Drosophila melanogaster: one gene and its partners. The protein of the gene in region 1 interacts with the protein of each later gene in a pairwise test. Each region holds a gene or a part of one and is shown in the gene's direction. Other genes may lie near its edges. The genes, in order: MESK2, CG30026, CG15756 and Mic26-27.

What was found.
Region 2: the proteins of MESK2 (region 1) and CG30026 interact in a two-hybrid assay, tested with the Drosophila melanogaster proteins (one large-scale study listed by BioGRID).
Region 3: the proteins of MESK2 (region 1) and CG15756 interact in a two-hybrid assay, tested with the Drosophila melanogaster proteins (one large-scale study listed by BioGRID).
Region 4: the proteins of MESK2 (region 1) and Mic26-27 interact in a two-hybrid assay, tested with the Drosophila melanogaster proteins (one large-scale study listed by BioGRID).

Annotation. Positions count from the first base shown.
Region 1 is NT_033778.4:21,500,083-21,505,150, forward strand, and holds the start of MESK2 (misexpression suppressor of KSR 2), read left to right. Parts: upstream 1-2,014; 5' UTR 2,015-2,397; intron 2,398-5,068. Other genes in the region: TAF1C-like (TATA box-binding protein-associated factor RNA polymerase I subunit C-like), read right to left, coding at 1-1,463.
Region 2 is NT_033778.4:11,407,936-11,411,447, reverse strand, and holds CG30026 (uncharacterized protein), read left to right. Parts: upstream 1-1,998; 5' UTR 1,999-2,041; coding exon 2,042-2,582; intron 2,583-2,635; coding exon 2,636-2,781; 3' UTR 2,782-2,872; downstream 2,873-3,512. Other genes in the region: drip, read left to right, coding at 1-53; CG34054 (uncharacterized protein), read left to right, coding at 1,025-1,358, 1,443-1,594; Smyd4-3 (SET and MYND domain containing, class 4, member 3), read right to left, coding at 3,471-3,512.
Region 3 is NC_004354.4:13,532,701-13,536,948, forward strand, and holds CG15756 (uncharacterized protein), read left to right. Parts: upstream 1-1,699; 5' UTR 1,700-1,772; coding exon 1,773-2,104; intron 2,105-2,165; coding exon 2,166-2,332; intron 2,333-2,397; coding exon 2,398-2,636; intron 2,637-2,944; coding exon 2,945-3,103; 3' UTR 3,104-3,502; downstream 3,503-4,248.
Region 4 is NT_033777.3:16,143,748-16,148,900, reverse strand, and holds Mic26-27 (MICOS subunit 26/27), read left to right. Parts: upstream 1-2,045; 5' UTR 2,046-2,326; coding exon 2,327-2,478; intron 2,479-2,541; coding exon 2,542-3,070; 3' UTR 3,071-4,138; coding exon of another isoform or gene 4,139-4,273; 3' UTR 4,274-4,328; coding exon of another isoform or gene 4,329-4,478; 3' UTR 4,479-4,500; downstream 4,501-5,153. Other genes in the region: CG5916 (uncharacterized protein), read right to left, coding at 135-466, 527-1,158, 1,231-1,259; Sb (stubble), read right to left, coding at 4,139-4,273, 4,329-4,478, 4,709-5,006, 5,082-5,153.

The DNA of each region.
Region 1 (5,068 bases):
TCTATTAAAGCTTCTTCCAGGGTTACCGGCGCAAATGGTATTGCCGGCGAGAACATTTCATCGACACTTTTTGCCTGAGCTCCTTGCAGTTCACAAATTCGCAAATCTTTGGGTAAGAGTCCACCTAACGCAATATATTCACTGTCCTGGTGAACGCTTGTGTCAATAAAACAGGGTGGATAGGTCATCTGATGCGTCCAGGTGACGACAGCTCGATCGGTCAGCTTTTTACCCAAGCATCTGATATCCAAACAGTGGAAGTTGTGATTACTAGCCACATACAAGAGATTAGGATTCACACCCTTGGCCAAACAAGAGAACCTCTCGCAAGCTTTTGAGTGAACGCCGCTGGCAAAGCAGGGATTCAGAGGCAGATTGCATCGCACATCTACGGTAAACAAAACTGGCTGTGTTAGGCAGTGAAAGGTGCTTTCCTCTGCTTGCTTTAACTGTGCCCAGGTACTCGAGGTTTTCTTCAGTCCTTTTAGCAAGCAAACATCAAGCTTGGCTATATCCTGTTGTGTCGAAATATCCACGAAGCGCAAAGACCTATCCTGGCTAGCTAAGGCCAATGTATTGGCATTGGCCAATGATTGTGCAGCGCTTGTAAAAGGAGCTACTTGACTGCTAAACATGCAATGGCGAATGAGTTCGTAATCTGAATCCGAATCCTGTTCGTCTTTGCATTTAAGTTCGTATAGGGAAACCTCCTTCAGCAACCGTGCCAGGAACATTTGACTGCGATTTAAATTGTGGAGCGGAAGAAGTTCAAAGACTTCGCTGGAGGATTCCTCTATCGTAGCCGAATGCAATGGTTGCCAAAACTCCGCCTCACCATAATCTCGGGAAAAGTGCAAATCTCTGAGCTTATTACCGCTGACATGCATGGCCAGCTGATCGTTTCCATCAAACGGAATCGTGTTTAGGTTTCCGCCTGTGTAGTAGTAATCGTAGCTGTCCCTGAAGAAGGAATTCTCCTGTTGGGCTATGTGCTCAGCCATCTCAAACAGACTGGCATCGTGTACACCTTGCTCCTGCTTCTGTACACGCTGTCTCATATTTTTAAGTCGCCTATCAAATATAGCCTTGCCTAATTGCAATTGCCGTGTCCAATCGTCGTAGCGGAATGGCCTTTGGACGCATGCCTCCACTCGGGGAGTTTGTCCATCCTTTGCCAGGAAGAGGGGTAGCGGCACCGTAACCGAGCAATTTGGCAAGTCCTGCTTCGGATTATCCTGATGATCGTACAAGAGTTGGCCCAACATTCCAGTGTTCAAGCCGGGATAAGAGAAGTGCGGCGCATTTTCCAAAATGCTGCGCAGATTATCTGGCTCATTGTTATCCTCAGCATCTTGATCCGGCGGAAGATCATCTTCGGAATCGGATTCGTTGTCACTAGTTTTGGTCTTGACCTGGGCACTGTATTTGGCCGAATTGAGAGCTGTTTGATAGCGTCGCGGCATGTCTGTAATTGGAGTATAAATAAGAAATCGGATTTTGCTAGCTGGCCGATGTGTTTTGATGCATGTGAGCCTGGCTTACGGATTTCTTCGATCAGCTATCCAGTTCTGCACGAAAGAATTTAGTTAACAAATTGAATTTGACTCAATCAAACGCCAAACGCACGACGTTTCCTCTGGACGCAAGAAACAGCTGATTAGTGATGGGTATTTATGTCTACCCAACCGCATGCTTGCTGTTATGAGCATTACAAGCAAAATATTCACAATATATTAAAATAATATAGGTTTTGGATTATCTATTACATTACATTGGAAGTGCAAAAATGTAACATTGAAAAAAAAAGCATCGTAAAATACCTTTTTAAAGAAATGTAAAGGTTTTAGACACCAATAATAAGTAACATTTACATTTTTAAGTCAAAAATATTTAAGAATCCGATGTTTTGATAAGCGACGATGTATCGCTGGTCGGCGATACTATTTCTAAAATATCGGCTAGCTCGATAGCACCTATATGAAAACATCGATTCCCGATGCATCGATGTTTCTCCCCATCACTATCAAATTTGCTTTGCGCTGCATCGAGACCGAGAATTAAAGACTTGAAAGCAGCTGGAGAAATTACAAGAAATTGATCCCCGAAAATTACTGGCAATCGCGAACAGCGGGCGTGTGTGTGTGTGTGCGTGCGCGCGAGAGCGAGAGAATAAGTGAATGAAACAGAACGAGCACAGAAATTACACAAGTTGTAAAAGAAAAGGTGAAGAAAAAAGTTGGTCGAGACCGAATATTGATTTTTTCATAGACAGTGCAGTTAAAACAACGGTCTCTTTTTGTTAGCCAAAAAGAAGGCGTTGGTAAAAAGCGGTAGTAGTTTTTATCTCAATTTTGAGGCCTACAAAAGAATAGAAGAAAAAGCAACGGAAAGCGTCAGGTGAGTTTTTTAAATCCAACCACGCACACACCTGCACTCACACCTACACTACCGCACACAACGGGCACAATTAACATACATACAAGTGCCAAACAGACAACAAAACAAATGCCAATTGGAAAGGTGTGAAAGAGAGGGGCGGGTCTGGAAGATAACATTAACCAGTTCTAATCCTACTCCCCTCCCTCTCGCTCCGCTTGCATTTGTTTTGTTGCAGTTATCTATTACTCTTCCCTCTCTCTCTCTCTCTCTCTCTCTCTGTCTTATCCTGTCTCTCTCTCTCTGCGCTCGCCCCCATTAAAAAGAAAAGAAAACACACTGCCTCATCTAAAACTTTTCATTTGCATCCCAGTATCTGTTTTTCAATTAGCACTATTGTATATTTTGCGCACTCTTCTTTTTACTTAGTTAACAGTTAGTTGTTGTATGCACGTTTTTGTCGTTGTTGTTCTTGTTGCTCGCCATATCTGTACTAATTCATCCATTTATGATGTTCGTTTTTATTCGTTATTCGTTTTTTTTTTGTGTATGTTTGGCTTTGGTTTCGTTTGGGTTTTCCTCGCTTTTCCTAACTGCTAATTTTTGACAAAACCCAAATGGCTTCTGGCTCTGACGTAATGGACCCCTGCTGCCCTCCCCTTCGCTCCATTCCGTCTCTCTTCCTCTTTATCGCTCTCCCTCTCTCGGAGCTGGCGCTTTTCCACTCTAAACGACCTCCAGAAAACTTCGCCGCAATCATTTCAGCAGCTGCCACAGTGAAGCCTGTGTGCTGAAAACCAAGTTATGCCAGTAAAAAAAAGTGCGGTTGCATGTTGTCCTGGGATTCTAAATTAGTAGGTTTCCTTGATTCCTACACCTTTTTTCCATATTCTGAATTGCAATTAAGTTAAATAAGAAATTTGACGATCTAGGCAATTCGCAAAAAAACCTCAAATCAACTTCGAGTTGATTTTCTAGACAATAGTCGACCAATTTTCCTAACTAAACAAAGGAAAAGCGAAATGGAATAATGGGGTTGTTCATTAAAAGCGACTTGACTGTTATCTCTAATAGTTGCCCTAATTGGTTTACCTATTGGCAGTGTTTACTGTTCCTGCAGACATTTGTTATTCGCTGTTTTGTGAAATTTTATTGCTTCTAGCGGTTTTTGGGTGTGGAAATGAATGGGTGAGGACTCCACTTTAACGGCTCTACTGTAACCTGTCGGCGCCATCGCCATGGACAGGATTTCGTCTCGTCCTCCTGAGTATCTGAGTCCAGTACATACATGTATGTATACGTATCTATATCTGATGTTTAACTTTCCTGCATGTTTAATGCGTAGGTCAGTTTACTCAGAAGGCAAACACAATAAAAAGTTCGCCGCACAAATTGCTTTTGGCGCCTTGTTGCTGCTCCTGTTGTTGTTCTTGTTGTTGTTGTTGTTGACGCTCTTGTTGGCCACTCAGGTGTTTACCAACTTCCCTGGCACCTTCTCCCTTTTCTGCCCTTGGTCTGCTGCGGCTCTGTTTTTATGTAACTTTCAAATCGATTGCAAACACGTAACAGTAGGGCAACCTGCGCCGCCCCTCATTGCCCCACCGTGCCACGCCCCTAGCCTCCCACCTACCCAACTGATATTCTCCCATATCCTGCAACAACACGCTCTGACGTTGAGCGTGTGATTTGGTTCGTTTCGGCTGTACGATTTTTTTTCCTGCTGGCCTGCGGCTTGACATAGCGTGACATTTCCTGTATGTGATTTGCTGCCGTTGTCGGTGCCCCAGAACCCCTGCCACGCCCCCTACCGATGGGGTATCTTGTCTCTCCGCCCCCCAAAGAACATTTGAATAATTTCTGTTTTGCAAATTTGTACCCCCTCCCACATCGGAGGCGATATCCTTGAAGGACTCGGACAAATTGCAGTCAATACAATAGTTGAGCAAGTATTTTTAGGGGCAGCAGAGAACTTGTTGTTAGCCACCTTCCAAGGAAATCGAACACTGAAAGATCTTACAAAAAACAAGAGCCATTAAACGTATTAAATGATAATTTAACAATGAATTATGTATGTAACTACAGCAGACTTCCTTTAAAATTATCTCTTTTCACGTCTAAGTAGAAAAAGATACATTTAAAGCAAATCAAAAGCTCAAGGATTATGTAAATCACTTTTGTTCTCAGAAGAAAAAAAATCGTAATTATTTAGTCTTCTGAGTCGGTAAATCCGAAGTAGCATTGAATCCCAATCAAGTACACAGTTCAGCAGTAGATTGAGTTCAGATTGCTGTCTTGAGCTTCGGTTTGTTGTTGCCCGTTGACCTGCCAACGGTTGCCGTGGGCGACCTGCCAAATTGTCGATATTCCGTGCGCTCCTTTCGCTCCGGGCCGGAAAAACGGAAAAGCCAGGGCACGTCGTTCGCCTGTCGCCGTCCCACTCTAGCCGATGGCTAATTTCAATGGCTCCACGCTGCTTGCACCTCAAGCTCCTCCTCTGCACTCTTCACGTGCAATCGCAATTATGAATAATTCGCCATAAATGGCACACGCTGGGCTGCAATTATTGGAATTGAAGTGGCCCAGATGCCGCTGATAAATCGCTTGCCACCAATAAGCCTATAGTACATTATACATTACTACATTATATGTACATATATATGTAGAAATATGGCGCTAGGCCCATTATATCATA
Region 2 (3,512 bases), about 10 Mb from region 1:
TTTCAATCCTTTGCATACTACTGATGATGTACTGCGTGCTCACACAAACATAACGTGGATCTCGATACGTGTATTAATTAGGATATTAAGGTATTTTGGTTCTCTTTTTGTGTTTTTATTTTTCTTTAAATATTCCACCGGTATTTTAAGCTGTTATTTATTTTTAGGTTTGATTTTTATCATCATGGAGGAAAAGGACGTTTAATTAAGCCATTGCCATATTCGATCATAAAAGAACTGCAAATATTTGGACATATTTTTATTAACACTAAAATATTCTTAATAAGTATTTTATTAATAAATACGGGCTGGCCCTATATGACACGTTTTTACTCATTAAAATCGACATTCTTTGACTTATTATTTATTATTTATTTATGCTATTATTTGGCCGGGTTGCTTTCCATTTGAATTTACTTATTTTCTACATATAGAAATGTATGTTACACGCAATTAGCCGAGAAACGAACCTTTTTCTTTTGGATAAAGAATTTTTAAATGTCAATACCTAACACTAGAGGGCGCTAAAATGTTTGTAGCAATAGCCGCATAATGTAAAATTAGTCCACCGAATTTTGTAATTGTCTCCTTTTTGCAGGTAATAGTACCGCCGAAATAAAACTTTTTTTCTCTTCTTACATTACAATTTTATTTTCAACCATAATTTGTAACTACTCCTATTCACTTCATTTGCCAGCCTATAAAGACGAAAAGTCGAATTATAAAGTGTTACAAGGTAGGTTGCGCATGCGTGCTTACCAACCCGCAAGTAATTGCAGCGATCCAAAAAGCCATTTTAACCTTAAATTCTGATAAGCATTTTTCGAACCCGCTGCTCAAAATAAAGCAGCGTGTTTGCTCAACCGCTCATTTTGTAGTTTTGAGCATCTAAAGCCTCTCTGTCGATTGGTTTCTGTTATCAGTCCTCCGCTCTTTGCTAGCTAAAGACTAGCTAAACATCGAAGCTGGGGATCTGTTTTAGTATTTAAGCTAATCAGCTTCCGTTAGCACCGTTTGCTATAAAATGTATTTTGGCAAAGTAATTTCACTGTTTCTATTTTGTTTTCTGTTGGGAGGCATTTGGGCTCAGGATGTTATACCAGAGATACCAGAAGATGTTAGGCCAACGGAGCCCACGACAACTACAACAACAGATGCCACAAGAACCTCTACAACAAAATCCACCACAACTACAACAACGGAACCCACCACAACCACTTCAACAACGAAACCCATCACGACTTCAACAACACAAAGGCCTCCCTTTGAGCAACCCACACGGACAACCGAGATTCCTGGGGTGTGGATGCAACCGATAGAAAGATGCTTTCTGAGAAATCAGATGAAGTATAATACTTGTAAGTGCGATGGTATAATGTGATAATAAAGGGGACCGGACCTTGGGTGAATCACATTTCATCTGTTTGCTTTTCAATTTGCAGGCTGGCCAGTCCCACCGAGGGCCACTTGTTATCGCTGCTGCTACTACTACGACAGCCATATCACCGAATGTAGTAAGCTCCACCAAGGGCCTTGTGTGGCGTATGATTATGGCCAACTGAAAGTGCACGTAAATTGGAAACAAGTATTGTAAAAAGAAATTAAGCAGGAACAGAAATAAAAACAGTAAAATGCTTGAACATTAGTTGTGCAACCAGTTATTATAGAAGTTGAGCAATTTTAAAAACAATGGGATGATTAACAAATCGGGCAAATTTGAAATTCTCAAAAATATATATTTTTGCACCGGAAATAAAACAGTTTTTTCTTTGCTCTGGTTAGCAATATTTGTAATTAATTTTTAGTAACATTTATTTACGCAAGCAAATATTTTTAAGTGCCAGCATCTTATTTTTATGAAATTACTTGGCGTTGGGTTTTTCTGTCTTCTACTGTTCTGTTATCAGCCCTCACCTTTTGCGTGTGGGTCGGTTGTGTGTAAGTGTGTTAATGACTGCAGCTCTGTAGCTAAAACCCAAGCACAAGCTACTCAGTTTCAGTACTCGATTCAATCCGCTCACGTCAACACAGCACGCTAAAAATGAAGTCTGCTATTATTTGCGTGTTCTTCATCGCGACTGCAACGTGGGCTCAGGATACAAGGCCAGAAGTTCCCATCTATCTACCGCCGCCCTCTATAACAACGACGACCACAGAGGCACCAGTAACGACCACTATAACAGAGGAGCCAACAACAGAATCCTTGACAACTACAACAACTGAGACCAGTTCCACATTCTCAACAACCGAGCCTGCCGCAACTACAACAACGGAAATATCCACAACTTCGACAACCGAACCAAGTACTACAACTTTAACAACAAAGAAGATCCCATCAACAACAACAGCAATCATCACAACTACAGGAGTAGAAACCTCCACAACTACAACGACAGAAACCACCACAGCTTCCACAACACAAGGCGATCCAATATATCCGACTTACAGACCTCCCTACATGCGGCCCTCGACCTCAGGGATACCTCCCGTTTCTTCCACAAACCCCTGGATCTGGAACAATGGCAATCCGGCAGTAAAATGTTATCTGCGAAATCAACAGGAATACAGAAGTGATTGTTATGGTATGTGTGGTAAATGCATCAAATGCATCATTTATGTAATTTTCAAATTGCAGGAGTGGGTTGGCATCCGACGACAATTTGTTACCGCTGCTGCTACTATGATCAAAACAGAATCGCCGGATGCAGTAAAATTCACCGAGGACGGTGTTCGTGGTACGATTATGCTCGATGGATATCACCGAATTTCTATGTCTATTAAATAATAACATTAAAAGGTGGCGTAACATTGAAATTATATATGAACTGTACATTTCTGTAATAAAACAATTGTTATCCGTTGGGTGTCGAACAAAGAAAAGGTTTTAGTAATTTACTCTCGAAAACTTAAGACAAAGTTAAAAAAAAAGGTTTAAATGCATTTTTATACATGTTAATTAATGTTGAAATATTGTTTAAAATGCTATGAAATATTAATTACTACATACATAAATAAAACCAATTTCACAATAGGTTTTCACAAGAATTGTTATAGCGTAGGAACGTTACAAGTCGCTTATATACTTTTTATAGTTAGCTAAGACACTAACCATGACAAAAACTTGGTTTGTCCACCAAACTCCAGATGGCTCCAAAAAATAGCTCTAGACTTATTCGGAAATTGACTTGAATCGATTCAACGTTTAATGAAATTATGAATGTTTGCATTTTCACAAGCTGTAAAATTAGAAACTATTAGAGAAGATTTCCCACTTTCTTCTATTTGCACAATAGGCCTAGGGTGATATGGAATTTTTCCCATCTGCATATTAACTTGAGTAACACTCCTTAAATAAACAATAATGTCCTCAGATGGGAATCTGTTTTTTTACAGCATTTTTATTTTATATATTTTTGCAAATTAAACTCATTAGCCAAACAATGTTTTAATCAATTATTAAAGAATCCTAGCTAATCCAAAGTATAGACATTGCCCAAATTAAGGAAGCAATC
Region 3 (4,248 bases), on another chromosome or scaffold:
GCGAAAAGTGGGGGAAGTGTTTCCTCATAAATTCTTACATTTATTAATTACGCATGCGGTTTGACGGACTCTCGAGAATTTAATCAGCCAAATTGATGGTCTTAACCCTTGGTTGACTGCTGTGCTTTTTGCCACCTCCTTCCATACGCCGGGAGTAATCTGACTTAGTCCAATATATGATGTGCCAACGATCGATCAAAGATTTCTATATTGCAAAAATTTGCTTTATTAGTTTGATCATTAATTATGCCGCAATTTATTAACAGATTCATTTTGTTTCATTTATCAATTAAATGTCATTTGGCAAAACATTAATCATCACAAGCAAACCAAATCTACGCGATTTGAAGTGTTTGTTTTGTTTGTTACTTTTATTAAAAAATAAAAAAAAGAGTTTCCTACCAAACCGGACTGTATAGATATACATAAATGCTAAAATAAATAAAGCAATGTTATTTTGTATATATACTATAAAGATGATATGGAAAATTTAGCACATACTAGGCACTATTAAACAATCTGCCTCATATCTCTGTCAAATTAATGTCATCACAAACAAAAGCCGAGAAAGACATAAATATCCAACCCAGCGGATGCGATGAATACCAGCTGATGTCCGGAGTCCGGAGCCCGGAGTCTGGAGTCTGAAGTCTGGCATTTATCACATCACTCGTACCCAAGGGTTAAGCAATTAGGGGCAGATGGAGACGCCCACACTGGGCAACCAAATCGATGACCAAATGGAAAAAAAAGCCTCCCGGATCCAAAAAGGGGGTATCGGAAAGATGGGCCAAGTCGATAGCAATGTGGGACGATGACGCGACTGGTCAATGAACCATGTCGATGGAAGTCAGTTGGGGATCAGAATCGGAATCGGAATCGGGATCGGTATGAGTCGTCCTGCATCTGGGCCTGACACACTTCGGTCGGCGGCCGGCGCAACAAACAAATAATCAAACAAACAAACGGAGTAAACAGGCCGAAGGATCTGACGCGTCGGCCCAAAAACGCTGTCAAAATCACAAAAGCCACCGTGACGCCTCACAAAAACCCAAAAAGCCCGACAAAAGAATCGTTCTCGTTCTCGAGGGGGGGGAAGAGATTGGTGGTCAGAGATGTATGTTTCTCGAGGGGAATAAAGAGACGCCTCTAAAGGGTTAACCACAGAGCACAAAGGCAGAACAAACGCCAGAGTAATTATTATGAATGAATTTTCTGTATTGCCCTTGTTAGTGCTGTGGCCAAGTTCCAGAATATGGATTTTCTCAATATAGCTAGAAAATATATGGCAATCTATTCTCGAATTTTGGCTTCAAAACTCTAGTTATATATATATATGTATGCTATATATGGGCAACTACTGATATATTTTAAATTTAGTATATGGTATAGTACTGTCTTGATAAACACTTCATATTTATATGAAATACAGCCAGTTTTGGTGGCAAGAAAGTGTAGCCACATCGGGCAGCTCTGGTTCTGAAGAGCCGTCTGATAAGGAAGAAAAATAAAGGAGTGTGGGTGTTGACCACCAAAGCCATTGCCAAATCATTTGGGCAAAAGAGGGGTTTATTATACTTCAGAACCAGCCTGTTGTCGGCCTTTCTTCATTTGCCACTTTCTTGTTCCTGCTTTTCGCATGGACATTTTTCATCTTTAGTGCCGAAAGACTTCACTCGAGTGGTCTGCGTCTCTTTCGCTGGCCACGGGTATATAAAAGCCAGCGTTTCGCCCCAATGCCACATAATCAATTATTGAATTCTGTGTGCAACATGTTCCAACATTTCAAGCAGATCTATGCTGGGCTGGGTGTCAGTTCTCTGATGGTCACCCTGGCCATCCTACTGCTCCTTCAGCCCGTGGATGCACGCTGGACTCGCAGACCCAGGCGTACCACCACGCCAAGGAGCACCACAAGCATAACCACCGCGAATCCGGATCGTCATCAGCATGTGCACCACTGGCCACCATTGGTGGCACCACCGCCACAGCCTCAACCACAGCCACCAGTGGTTGTGGTGCAGAAGCCAAGTCACACGGAGACCAGTCCCCGTCTCGTCGATAGCTTCGATCAGAGATCACTGGACGGGCAGTACGAGTTCAGGTAAGGTATATTAGAACTCTATAGAACTTCGAGTGCTTATATATATATATTTATCACACAGATATCAGCTGGATAATGGCAACACGCGATATGAGCGCGCCTACTGGCTGCCCGTGGGCAAGGATCTCGTTCTGGCCAAGAAGGGATACTATTCGGTGCCACTGCCAAACGACAAGTACTCCACGGTGTTCTACACCGCCGATCATCGTGGCTACCATGTGGACATGCGTGAGTTCCATTGCCCCAAGGTCCATTCACATTCAAAACCGCTAATGAATTTATCCAAAATGCAGAGACATTATCCGTAGAGCAGCCGCTATTGCCGCGCAGCCTGGAAGTGCCCGGAGTGGAAAGGGATGTGGGATCGGGAATGGGAATGGGCACCGGAATAGCCACGGGTACGGGGACTAAGCGAAATTCAATAAGCGACCCGGAGCGTAACGAGCTGCCTGTGGAAGTGGAAGTGAATGAGGCTGAGGATGTGGATGTGGATGTGGACGCAAGTGATGCTGGCACCGAGCTGGTTCCTAATGTAAGTGCCACCGGGGGTTAGCTTTCCTCGGCGATTTTCAGGGCCCCCATCATATGAGTACACAGGGAAAATGTTTCAAAGGGGATAACCTAACGAAACTAAAGTATAACCTTAAATACTTTGAAACTAACCTTAATATTTAAAATTAAACTGGTAACAGTTTTACAACTACATGTATTTAATGGGAACTGTCAGCTACACATTTTAAAATTGTCGAATAATCATGATAAATCGTGATTTACTTATACAACTCATGTAGGCCATGCTTAATTCAATTTTCCACTGTGCATTTGCCCCCTTTGCTGCAGGCTGTAAACCAAGTCGAAACCGAAACCGAACCATCAACTTTGGCCAACGACATTTTGGCAACTGGAGCACCAGCCGACAGCCATGATGATGATCACGATGACGATGGCGATGAGGATGGGGATGACGATGTTGATGATGATGAAGGCGCCTCAAACTGAAAGCCCGAACATTAGAGGACATTTCGGCATACAGAGAATGGAGATTGAGACTGGCAGGGGAACTGGCACACACTTGGCTGCCTCGCAGCTCGCTCTACTTGCTGCAAATCAAATTGAAAACAATTGTTGCAGTCACCAGTCCGACACAGTTGAGTTGGCCAGTAGTCCCCATATACCATGCAGCAGGATGAGCAGGAGCTGGAGGAGAAGTCAAGTCGACTCCACTTAACTCCATCGTCATCTTCATCTTGGAATTCTAAGGGGAATGTGTCTCAATTGCTCGCTTGACAGCTCCTTTTAGGTCGCTTTCTATGTTTTCTGTTTGCCTCACTCTGTGTGTGAGATGGTATTCTTTTTTTTTTCAATATTTAATAAAAATAAATAATAAATGTAGGATATAAACTTGAAGTGGCTTTTAAATCAAGCTTGCAACTAATAACATAGACGCACTTTCAAAGAGGAGAAAGAGTGGCATACTGCTATTCAACGGATTAATATCTTTAATTCTCTCTTTAACATTGAACATATTTAGTCCTTTACCAATGTAAATGACTCATAAAAAGTTATTTTTAAAAAGCGAGAATTGTCTTGCTAGTGTATTGCTACGAAATTACATCGTGTTCAGACACCGAAACGAGGTACATTGAAGCAATTTCAAATAGTTTAGAGAGGTGTCATAGCCATTTTCAATGGCCCAAAGGGGCCAAAGACCAAAAGCACCGTGTGTGTGTGTGTGTGTGTGTGTGATGATGGCCAAAAGATGAGACATTATGAGGCGTCTGACAAAAACACATTCGAGCCTCAATTTGCCAGCTGCCTGCCGGCTGTCTTTTGTGATGCCTTTGGTGCGCTGCTGCCTTTGCCCGGTTTCAATTTAAATGGTTTCTGGAAAAACGCCCCAAATTGGGTGGCCGTACTGGTGAAAAGGCGATGCCAGGCGGAGATTTGTTGGCGGCAAATCGGTGAGCATTCATAAAACTTCACCATCTCTGGACCTGCCATTACCCCCACCAACTGCATGTTCCTGTAAGACTCGACTCAACTCGACTGCTTACCTTCGCCTTCTGCGCCACTCGCCCACAACCAGGTGCACATATGCTCGTAAAATGCAGAGTGCACTGCGAGAAAATGTTGGACAAAGGGCA
Region 4 (5,153 bases), on another chromosome or scaffold:
AATGAACATAAACACAATGACACGGCTGAACTACGCTCCTAATAATTGAATTTTCGATTGCTTCTCCAATTTGTTTTTGGTTTTGTTGCTGTTGTTTGATCTATTGGTCATAGAGCCCTTTCCACACTGGCTCCTTAGGCCGGATTAAGCACGGCCACCTTGCGTAGGCTCTCTAGCTCGCTTCTCTTCAAACGCAGACTGAACATGGCCTCAACAAAGCCATGACAGTCCGTCACAATGTTGTCCTGGATCATGGTATCCCGGAATAGATTGGCCAGGGCAGCAATATCATCACAGCCCAGAATGGCGTTCTTGTGAGTGACGAACATGGTTAGGGCGGCACGAAAAACGATCTTGTAGCCCTCGGCAAAGACACAGTCCCATATACGTAGCACAGTCTCCACGGGCAGCACCTCGGCAAAGATGCAGATGAACCATTTGCTGGCGATCACCGGATAGGGCAGGCCTGGAATAAAAAATATGTTAGCAACTGGTTACGGACTTAGTTCTTTAAACTAAATCTTACCCAAGTTATCCACATGCCGATTTACAGCGGGAATTCGCCGGATGACCAATTCGCGGAACACGGCCAGATCCCTCAGCAGATTGGCCATATTATGGGAATGGTATTGCGGCACGATGTTTTCAACGATATGCTTGAGCAGCCAAAAGGACTTCTCCTCATCGTCGGTGACGATCAACAGGAGGCCGGCTATGTAGTTAAGACCTTGGCAGTAACCCACGTCCCGATTGTGATGGGCGTAGGCGATGAGAATGTTGTACAACCGCTGCTTCTTCATATCGAAGTGAATATTGTCGGGGAAGGTACGAGGTAGATCGATTGATATGGAATCGCTGATTTCTTTGTCGAAGGGCTCGGTGCGCAGAAGGTTGCGAAAGAGATCCGGCGAGCGACGCTGGGCGGCGGCAGCTCCAGATATCTTCATCCAGACGTCGGGACGGTATGGACCAGGAATGCCCTTCCGAATGTACCGCTTCAGCTTGGCGTCCACCTGGGTGAGATCGGTATTTTGCTGCAGAATGGCCTCCCATTTCATGCGGCGCCGCGTTAACGTTTTCAGGTAACCATCCATGAACTTTGAGTAGTTGTTATAGTCGAAGTGGTCGCCACGCTTGAAGCCATATTCGTCCACATCGCTAACCACGTGCGGTTTAGATGCGTAAAGATATGCGTAAGTGAAAATAATTACTATATAACTGAATGCTCACCTGAACTTTGAACTTGCGGTAGCATCCATATGAACTATTGACTAGAGTTTCAATTGCTCACAGTGAAGAAGTGTGGATTTCTTCGTCGTTGGCCACGATTTCCTGTCAGCCGTTCGTGGCTCGTGGCATGGCCCCAAAAAAAGATTTCGTATTCGGCGCACGTTGTGCGGTTACGTCGCTGCCTGCGCCTCTACCGCTTCTGCTGCAACTGCAACGGATTGAACCTGCTGCAAAAGTCAATAAATATTGCCTTTAACTGGGGGCCCTTCATTTATTTATAAGCCCATTTGGCCTTGGCTGGCACTACCTCTGCCTACGCCTCGTCCTTGAGCGATGGGTGGCCTTTTGTGCGCGCCCACTCGACGTTGTTGCTGCCTCCGCTGCTGAACTGATAACATTAACGGACCGACGACCGATTTGGGTGGGCGGCCAACGGACAGGTGACAAGGGGGTGGGCGTGGGCGAGTGCGTTGGCTCCGCTTAACGCGCGCTTGCAAATGGTCGATGGCGGATTATTTAAAAGTAGTGATTTCATTGAAGATTGCTGGTCCGCTTATCAGTGGGCTTGAGTTTGCATATTTTTGTTCTTACTGGTGAATAAAATTCGCGTCTTGTGGAAAGTGACCAGAGTCACGAACTGGGAAAACGGTAGAACGGTAAACTAGTTCCATTCTACGATGATTATGATGCGATACATCGAACTGCTTTGTTACATATCGCTTAAAATCGTGTCAATAGAAAATAAACGGTGGATGGCATTTAAAAAATCGGATTTGAAGCAAAAAAATTTAATGATTTCATTCGTTTATATCATCAAATGCAGAAAATAGATGACCTTACAAATTAATCTAATAGCAATACCGATATATCGTGACCACCCTCACACGTGACAGCTGTGAACATCTGTTGCACGAATCACCCACTGCTTTCATTCGTCGTCATGCGTCATTCAGTCGAACCGTGCTGTGACAAATTACGCAATGTCTAACAACTGATGTAAAACAAGCAATTTACCAAACAGTTGGCCAAATTCCGTGTGTACACACACTCCGATCGACCCAGCGAGGCACTTTAACCAGCTCCTGACCACTTCGAGATGCTGCGCAAAACGGCAACGATGGGAATCATGGCGGCGGTTGCCGTTAAAGCGGCTCCCGAGCCCCAGAAACCAGCCTCCAGTGCGGCGGACTGCAGCCTGGTGTGCCGGCCCAGCGAGCTGCCCATCTACGGCAGCTTGCGCAAGACAGAGTGAGTGCCCCAATGCAAGAAAAAGGTCCCAGCCTTAACGATACTCCTTTAATGCTACCGCAGACCCAAGCCAGAACGGCATCCACCACAAGACTCTGTGCTGCACAAGAACCTGGAGGCCGGAGTCCGCTATGTGCGCGAGGAGGTGCAGTCTGGATATAAGGCAGTGGCCGATCAAGCCGGCATTGTCGGCCATTACGTGGAAACCGCTAAGGCACACACCCAGTCCACCATCGACATGCTGAACGAGCCCCAGAACTCCCTGCACCGCAGCGGAGCCATTGTGGTGGGCGGTCTGGCTGGTTTCATCTTCGCCGCCCGTGGAGGCTTCATAAAGAAGGTGTTGTATTCGGGCATCGGAGCAGGTGCAGTCGCCTCCATGTGCTACCCCCGCCAGGCGGAAGAAAACTGCCGCGTGGTACTCTACGAGGGCCGTAAGATCTTCGCCGTGGCCTACAACTTCATCAAGGGCGTAAAGCCAGGAGAGGATGTTCCCGTAGTGCCCTTCCCTACCTCGCTGGAGGACCTTAAGTACATGGCCAGTGACCTGTACGATGAGGCAAAGGATCTAATCTTCCCCAAAAAGAAGTAGGAAGTGCCCTCCCGCTAAAGGAAACTCCTAGTCCACCTCCATCCGGGCGAAAAGTGTGCATCGATTTAAGTTGTATGAAGCTTGAATTCTATCCGAAAGTAGTTATCTCTTTTCTTGTTGCCAGAAATAAATTGGCCTCGCGTCCCAAAAGTGAAACGGCGGTTTAACTTGGCAAATGTGTGTGGGCCGTGGCCAGAACCCGCTCTCACATGAATCTTCGAGTGATTAATTGAGGTGTTGGTGTCAAGTCAAATGTCACGCCAGTGAGCTGTTGAAAAGTGAAATCCGGAGGAAAGTGTCGGCTGCGGATGTCTCCCATCCTCCATCTCCCCACGTGCAAAACCGATTGTGCCAATCATCATCGTCAATGACCATGGCCCGCAGCCGAACATGGCGATGACTACAAATTGTGTGAATGGTCTTGGCCATCCATTTGCGGTGCCCTCGGGGGCTGCTATTGCTGAGGAGGAAATCGGCTCTTATAGCGATGGGTATCTCGAGCGGACCAATTCTCCGATTGCGGCATTATTTATTAGACAATATTTTCATTAATCTTTTATTGCTCTCGAGCTTTCGCATCGCTATAGATAGACTTGTTCTTTGGGCAAGATACAAACAACGTTCGGATGTCTGCATGCATTTGTTTACAATAAATATAGATTTAGTTAATTGTTAAATATTACTACACTAAAATACCAACAACTTGTGGACATGCAAATGACTCCCAATCCCCCCTACCCCTCCCAAGCCCCCTATCCCTTCGGCTATGTACAAATAGATAATCCCATTCGAAATCCGACCGATTTCCTTGTTAGACAACTTACGGTGCTAACATTTCGCTAGACTAAATTAGTGGGCGTTGACTGTGTGTGTGTGTGTGTAGGTGAATGGGTGAGTGCGGATAGGGGCGTGGCAGTGGCCCACAAGGCCATGATGTTAAAATTGTTAAATTGAAGCTAACTACGCTTAACATTCCTTTAAGATAAATCACACAAAACTTATAGATACAACTGATAAATTAAAACAAATAACAAAAGTAGATCTGCCGTCGTCAGTATCTTCTGATCATCATCTGACATGCTCCAGTATCCACGGCGTAAACTTGGAGATTCTCGTACAGACTCCGGGCAAATTGGCCTCGGCACAGCCAATGCCCCAGGAGATGATCCCGGCCAGAAAGAAGCGCCCATCCTGCGACTTGGCCTGCAAAATGTTTATTAGCATATATCTCGTAGGTTTGCTTTATCCGGCATCTCACCTGCAGTGGACCTCCTGAATCGCCCTGACAGGAGTCCTGCCCTCCCGTTTCATAGCCCGCGCACAGGAATATATCCGGAATGAACTCCTGGCGACCAGCTCGCATGAACATCGATTTGCAATTATCGTTACTTACAATCGGCACGGAGACCTATTAAAATGTATTAGATTACATTTGTGTCTTGCATTTAACTTTATTTTTAGATTTATGATATATATCTTTTGATTCACGTTGGAAATCCCTTTTATGATCTCTCTGACTTTTCCTAATTGCAATCGCCCCATTTAGAACCACACCGACAATTTTTTGCGTTCGATTCGCAGCGGTTATCATTGTCGCTGAATTCTAAAAATGAAGCTTAAAGTCGTGTTAACACTCACCTCTTGGAGGACGGAGGGCAGGGTGCCGCCCTCGCTGAGACGACCCCAGCCGGTGACCGTGGCGTTCATGCCAATTAGGAGGCTGTCCGTCTCGGGCAGGCAAATGGGACTGACATGCGGCGCGAATTCGAGCGGCTGCTCCAGCTTGACCAGCGCCAGGTCGTATTCGTACGTGAGGAAGCTATACTTGGGATGCACCACCTTCTTGGCCACCCCGCGCTCTATGTAGGGCAGCTGTTCCTGCACATGCGAGAAGTCGTACTCGCCCACGCGGATGCGTATCTGCGAGATGAGCAGGCTGCAAATGGAAGAGGGGCAGGGATTAGCTCGATCTGGATCTGGATCTAGTCCGGTTTTGGGCTGATCCACTCACTCGTCCACGCAATGTCCGGCGGTGGCTATCCAGTTCTCGTTGATCAAAGCGCCACCGCAACGGTGGGTGCTC